Rattus norvegicus: one gene and its partner. The protein of the gene in region 1 purifies or fractionates together with the protein of each later gene. This does not show direct contact. Links are inferred from orthologs where the notes say so. Each region holds a gene or a part of one and is shown on either strand. Other genes may lie near its edges.

Region 1 (3,653 bases):
ATTTGTAATTACTGTCATCTATCCCTATGTGTGAATAATCTTTAGTTTTAAATTTTTAATTGGTTAAATTTGAAAACAATAAGAGTGATTGAGAAGACATCAGGGTAATGACTTATTTTAGGCATGTGTTTGTGTGATACGTAACAAAGAGAATACTTTCTGGAAGGCAGTAGTTGATCTCCGTCTGTTGAATGCCTAGGATTCTGATTAGGGCAGACCTATTTTTGGATACCTTCCAAAGGTATTTAAGATATCAAAGTATCAAAAGAGGCTATGGCTTCTCAAAGATGGCCCTATTATACAGACGTAGAAACCAAATTAAAATAATAAGACATGTTTTTATCTTTTTTATTTTCAAAGCTGTGCCTTTTAGCTTTTTAAAATAGCAACTACAGAAAGCATTTTATTATGTCATTGAAACTTAGTAACTTGAGCAAAATAGGCATGCATTACTCTATAGAAATCTTATTTTTGTGATAATCCCAGATATATAGCTTAATCGTGTAATTTTTGTGATGTTGCTACTTTGCCTCTTTGAAGCTTAACCTCAGAGATGATGTGGTGAAAATTACAATCGATTGGAACAGGCTCCAGAGCCTCTCAACATCCCAGCCTGCACTGCTCCTTACTGCACTTGAACAACACGTTTTGTATTTACAGGTAAATTTCATATTAGAATGTTTACTGGATATTCAAAATAGAAATTAACTGTAGTTTAATTAGCTGGAGTATTTTTCAGTTCTACCTCAACATTCTGTTAACAATAACTGTTATTAGTAAAAGGTTGCAGAAATCCATATTGAGTCTAGGTCTGTTAATTTCACTAGTGATTGGGATAGTTATGAGAATATAGCCCAACAGACCGATGTGGGTTTGAGAGTGAATAAATGCAATTCTATTCAATTCTGGGCTTTGCTGAAAATTCAATACAGTTCATCTATGGTGGGTTATAATTAAGCAATAAGACGCGGCAGGTGTGAGTCATGCTATGATAATGATTCCATGCCTTGGGTGAGTTGGGAGGCTCATGGAGTGCTTTCAGTGGTTCAAGAAGTGGCATTATCCCAGCATGACACATCCTGGAGTGTCTATTGCAATTAAACAGTTTCAGCGTAGTTTTTAAAAAGAAAGTAATTTCTGTGACATTAATGTTTCATCTTAGTGAGTAGCCAGTCACTATTTCATCTTAATAATTTGAAATAATTTATCCTTTATTGGAAGTCAATATTGAATTATTTATCATGGTATTGTTACACTTTTAATATTTCAGCTTGAGAAACGAACAGTATTATAGCCTTGCTGCTGTTGTTGAACATCTCTGCAAGTGTAATTGATGTGAGTTAGAGCTTTTCTCTCATCAGGACAAGCAGAACTGTTTTTCCTGGTCACTTTACTGTGTCGAAGATGTTAGAAGATTTCAAAAGAGTACTTGGCATAGCAAACAATAGAAACAAAATTGTATGAAAAGATGATCAGGATATTGTTTAGAAATAATGTGTTAATTTTCAGCCCTGAATTCATTGACTTTCTGGGAACATTTAACTGTGTTTCATGATAAAAATAACAGTTAACAATTTGTCTAAAGGGCAGGTGATGAGCTATAGAACTCAAATGTGGACCATGTCAGGGTGGGGATGACGAGGAACAGTGGAAGTGAATTTCTATTATGAAGACATATTTTCCTTAAACCTACTGTAGTTGGAGTGATTTGTTTCCAGCTCTTTCTTCCTTTCTTTCTTCCTTTCTTTCCTTCCTTCTTCACTTCATGTGCATTTGCTCTTGTGAAGTTTCATTTCCTGACCCAATAAGATCCTTGCTATGTCAGAGAAGGCTGAGTGTTCACTCAGGGTAACACCTGGTATACTTCATATCCGTGCCCTCATTCATCGTGGCCCACTGTACTTTGAAGTGGAGAATCTCAGCGATGCAGTGATAATGCAGGGCTTTGCTGAGTGAGCACTGCTCTCCTGCTAAGGACGGAGAACACTCAAGCTAGTGTTCTGAATGACATGTTAATTAAGAGGCATCCAGGCCAGAGACTGAGGCTTTGATTTAGCACAAAATAAAAGATGAATGACAGAATGATTTCCTCAAAGAAAAATTTAAATGTCCTCAGGTTTTCTTTCTTGTCTTCTTTTTAAAAAATAATGTACAGCAAGCGATAAGGGCTATACAGTAGTAGAAAATAGCAAACCTGTGTGTGGTCAGACCTGCGGCGTGTCCTGTGTGCCACCAGCTTTTCATATTTAATAACTGGTAATACTCATTTATGTAGCAGCAGCTTATACAAACCTATCACTAGTTGAGATGAGTTTGAACCTGAGCAGATGTCACTGTGTTCTTTTCAGCCTTTTTTAGCAAAACTTCAGTCTTTAATTAAAGAGAATTCAACAGCTGCAGAACTAAGACAAACAGAAGCAGAGACCAAGAGTGAACTAAGAGCCAAACTTCCCACTGGGGACCTACAAGATGAAGGAAAGCTCAAAGACGATGATTTAGGGGATGTGAAAAAGACACAAATCCATTTTGATCCAGAAGTAGTTCAAATAAAGGCTGGAAAAGCGGAAGTAAGTTTGGGCTGGTACAAGGATCAGGGTAATATTACTTTTAAAAGTTCTGTTATGTTTAGATTGTTAAATTATTTGTTGTTTATAGATTGACAGACGAATATCTGCATTTATTGAGAGAAAACAAGCTGAAATCAATGAAAACAACGTCAGGGAATTTTGCAATGTTATTGATTGTAATCAAGGTAACTAGAAGTTTTTTTAAATAGAATTTTAAACATTTTGACAACTGATGTAATATTTTGTTTTAAAAATGCATAACAAAAACAAGATTCAGTCTTACAGGTTTTTAGTTGGTAATTAAGGCAGTAGAATTTTCCTTTATTTAGTGACGGGCCCTGTTGCCAAGCTGATTTTCATTTTGGTTACACAAAACATCAAGTGAAGGCCGAACTCTAGAGACAGATATTTACCACAAGTCCGAGAAGATCAAAGTTTCTTTAGAGAATGAAGGTGAAATGTTGGATGACAGAGTTGTTTAGATTTGCTGTTAGGAGAAGACAAAGGATTATGAACTTGAGGTCTGTAAATGTACCTGTGAAATTATGTTAATTCAGTGAGCCTAGTAGCAGTAATAGCATTCCTCAGGAGGGAGCAGTTTTCTCTTTACTCCTGAGTTTCATGATGCACCCAGCTTGTCACGAAGACCTGTGGAGCCCTAGGCCTTTCCCTTTTTCACATCGCATACCTTTGCTGTTTCTCCTCAGTCTCCTTGTCCTCTTCACTTGATGCTACAGTGTTTCCAGGTCTGCAGTATACCTACAGAATACCATATACTGTGTAGATTGCCATAGATCATAATCAGTTATCCTTGTAAAAAATTATGGAGAAAGGTTTGTAATTGGGCTGAACGTCTTATTGCCATTAATATCTCTTAGTGATTATAAACATAAAATTGCCCATTGAACCTGGAAGTGACTCAGAATCACATTGATATGTGATGCTCTTAACATAATAATGTGGGCTCACTGCAGATGCTAAGTTAAACTCTTCTACTGTTAACTTGTGTGGATCTCTAGACTTAGCTCTTTATAGCAGGTGTAGCAGTGGCAGAATCTCAGGTGTGGCAATCCAGTTGTACGCACT
Region 2 (3,653 bases), on another chromosome or scaffold:
AAGAAACATGCTTTAATAACTCATATGCCAAGTTGAAAGTCATCTTAGAAAATAGGCAATCTTTAAGATAGACCTGGAATGGGCAGTCTCCCTTCTCAACCTTCACTACCACCCTTTCTCCTCCTGGAATAGCCAGGGATACATGGCAAGACCTTGTCTCACTCCATGTCTCCTCCCAAATAAGTTAGATTCATCAGTATGTATTTTCCATTTCAAACCATCCTTTTTTTTTTCTTTTGCCTTTTATTTTGAACATCACAGGAGAAAAGAGGAAAATGAACAACTCTCATGCTCCAGAGGAGGCCAAGCGATCTCGAGTGATGGGGGATATTCCTGTGGAACTGATCAGTGAAGTTATGTCTACCATCACAGACCCTGCAGGGATGCTTGGACCAGAGGTCAGCAGCTGGGAGGGCCTTCTGGTCGCCCTGCCGTAAGAGCTGTCAGAGCTGAGGGTGGGGTACTGAGAACACACTGCTGGTCACCTGTAACCTGGAGATCGATCACTGTAGGGAGGGCAGGAATGGCTAACTAAGATGTGGTTCCCTTCGATGAATATCAGTTATGGGGCCACAAACTACAGTTTCAAGTAGTTGGAAACTTTTCCACATTGGAGAATTTCAAGCCTCCCTCAGCAATGAAAAAAAAAAAAAAGTAACCAAACAACAACAACAACTACAACAAAAACCCAAGAATCAAAACCAAAAACAAAAGCCCCCCCCCCCCCCCCAAAAAAAACACCCAAACCCCACAGAGTGTGTTGAGCCTGCAGATTTATCAGGGGTCACCTCCCATTTCCCTTTCTTTACCTCCTTTCTCCTCTCCTGTGAACCCTTTAGAATCATTTCACAGCTCCAAACAGATGTAATAATACCTCATACCTCGTGCATTTGCTTGTGTCTTGTACTAAAGCAATTCTCTTAGATAATCACCTGAGCTAGCACTCAGGGAATTTAACTTCATTATAAGGTTCTCTGGCTTAGGGTTGGCAGACTGCAGCCTACCAGTCATAGCTGCTATTCAACTTATGGGCTCAAGTAATTCTGTGTCAGCTTCTAACTGGCTGGGAGGAAAGGTGTGTCCCAGCAGATTGGGCTTGTAATAGCTCTTATGGCATGTGTGTCTTGCAAAACAAAATGTTTATCTCTTGACTTCACTGGAAAGTTTGCTGACTTGTGGCCTAATTTTCAACCCCTGTGTCTAATGACCATCTTACCAATTCATGCTATTCATAACATGCATTATTGTTGGAGACCCAGTTAAGAACCAAGTATGGCATTCAGTTTTCATTTCTTCATCTTTTTATCTTCTTTCTCTGGTCCTTTCTTTGTTTCTTTGTTTCCTTCCTTCCGTCCTTCCTTCCCTCCCTTTCTTCCCTCCCTTTCTTTTTCTTTCTTTCTTTCTTCTTCTTCTTTTTTTTTTTTTTTTTTTTTTTGGCTGGTCTCATGTGGTCGAGGCTGATCTTGGACTCACTGTATAGCCAGGATTAATGACCTTGAACCACACTGCTAGGTTCATGAGGTGCCGGGGATCACATCCAGGGATTGCCACATCCCAGCAAGCATCTGACCTGTGAGCCATATCCCAGGCTCCTTAGTCTCCTTTAACTCAAAGCCTTTCCTCTTCTCTTACAATGTTGCCTTTGTTGAGGGGCCTCGTTAGCGAGTTATTCATAATGTCTCTGTCTGGATCTGTGTGACAGTTTAGATCAATCCAGGTAAAATATCTTAGTTAAAAGTATTGCTCTTGTCTCATTGCAAGACATCCAGGAACAGGGAGGCTTAAGACATTTCCAGGAAATGAAGACATAGCCTGAGTACTAGTGTATACACAGCGTCTGTCTTTTGGGTGTGGCTCTGATAGATTAAATTAGTAAGTTTCATACTGCGCTGTCTTCGTGGCTCTTTTATTAGTGCCAAGGATAATTTGGAGAATTGATTGTTGCAACAGAACCATCTCATAAAGTTCTTTCCTTCCAGTCTGTGGGGGGCAAATGCTGACCTCCTCCTGTGTGTAGGCTTTAGGGATTTCATAGCTTCACACATGAGCAGAGCATGGCCTGCTCAGAGGAAAGTGGGGAGGCAGTCACCCATTTCACAATCCTTGTTGCAGTTAGTAGAGTACTAGTATGCCCAAGAAAGCCACTAACGATGTAGACATTTTTGTAAGCTAGTTGTTAAATGCCTTGGATGCTTGAAATGCCTACCACAGTGGTTGATACCCAGTAACCTGGACGACCAGCCAAAGCCCTCAAAGATAGTGCTATAGTTAGGACTTTTCTGCCCAGCACAGCTGTTTGCCAAAGACTTCCTCGCCCAGCATAAGGTGAATTAAAGCATGAGGTGCTGGCTCTAGGCCATGCAGCCTGCTGTGAGTTAAGTCTGGATCAATAGATACTTCTAGAAAGAAAAGTATCTTCCAAAAAAGAGGTGCTGAGAATATAAAAATGACTGCTTTTTTTTTTTTCCGGAGCTGGGGACCGAACCCAGGGCCTTACGCTTGCTAGGCAAGCGCTCTACCACTGAGCTAAATCCCCAGCCCCAAATGACTGCTGTTTTATGGTGCGTTTCAAGAGTTTAGAACCTGTTGTCTTAATGATATTTAATTAATTATTATTATTTTTTATTTTCATTGCTTTTATGTTGTTATTATGTTGTGTGAGTGAGTCACTCTTGTATAGAGGCTAGGGGACAACTTTCAGTAGTCAGTTCTCTCCTTTAGTTGTGGATTCTGGGCCTCAAACTGAAGTCATCAGTTTTGTGCAGTGAACACCTTCGCCTGATACTCCATCGTATTGGTTCTCTCCTTAAAATGAACACCGACTTACTTAATGTGCCTGTGTGTATGTGTGTTCATGCACCTGTGGAGACACCATGCCATGGTGTGAATACGGAGCTTAGAGAGGCCAGTATGAAGGGATGGTCTTTGTCCAGGCATTGAACTTAGGTTGTCAGGTTTCGTGTCATGCACCCTTACCTGCTAAGCCACTGATCTCCCAATTCAGAATTTTTACATGTATTTTTGTTTACTTATGACATATGTCTGAGTATATGCCATATATGTGTGGCTGCCCACAGAAGTCAGAAAGGGGCATTGGCTGGCTGGAGCTGTAGGCACTTGTGAGCCTCCCAGTATGGGTGCTTGAAAACAAGCTTGGGTCCCTGTAGGACAGCAGGCATTGTGAACTGCTGAGCCTTTTCTCCAGCTCTTCTACCCTCCTTAAAGTTGGAAAATCATGCCAAGTGTTCTATACTAGTGTGGCTATGTCTGCTTGTATGCTACAACAGCAGCTGAGTTGTTGAGAGAGACCATGTCATTAAAAATAGCTAAAATATTTTATTTTATTGTTTACATTATGTGCATATGTGTCTCTCTGTGTGGGATTATGTATATGTGCAAATGCAGGTGCCCAAAGAGGCCAGGAAAGGATGTCAGATACTCTGGCCTGGAGTTACAGGCAGTTGTGAGCTCCCAGTGTGTTTTCTGTAGGACCCACACTCGGGTCCTCTCGAAGAGCAGTGCATATTCTTAACCACAGAGCCATCTTTCTAACACTCTACAATATTGTCTTAAAAATAACTTTTGTGTTGATACATGTGTTCACATGGGTGCAGCAGGATACCAGTGCCCGTGTGTGGCAGATGCTCTCAAAA

What was found. The genes of interacting proteins can lie anywhere in the genome.
Region 2: the proteins of Mbip (region 1) and Kat2b purify together in Homo sapiens (affinity purification with mass spectrometry; 4 studies listed by BioGRID and IntAct, counting the BioPlex papers as one, with this or other methods). This does not show direct contact. The link is inferred for Rattus norvegicus from reciprocal best matches to the Homo sapiens genes MBIP and KAT2B.

What each region holds. Positions count from the first base shown.
Region 1 is NC_086024.1:79,553,853-79,557,505, reverse strand, and holds part of Mbip (MAP3K12-binding inhibitory protein 1), read left to right. Parts: intron 1-540; coding exon 541-660; intron 661-2,348; coding exon 2,349-2,567; intron 2,568-2,655; coding exon 2,656-2,752; intron 2,753-3,653. UniProt on the Homo sapiens protein: Inhibits the MAP3K12 activity to induce the activation of the JNK/SAPK pathway. Component of the ATAC complex, a complex with histone acetyltransferase activity on histones H3 and H4.
Region 2 is NC_086027.1:6,879,141-6,882,793, forward strand, and holds part of Kat2b (histone acetyltransferase KAT2B), read left to right. Parts: intron 1-261; coding exon 262-398; intron 399-3,653. UniProt on the Homo sapiens protein: Functions as a histone acetyltransferase (HAT) to promote transcriptional activation. Has significant histone acetyltransferase activity with core histones (H3 and H4), and also with nucleosome core particles.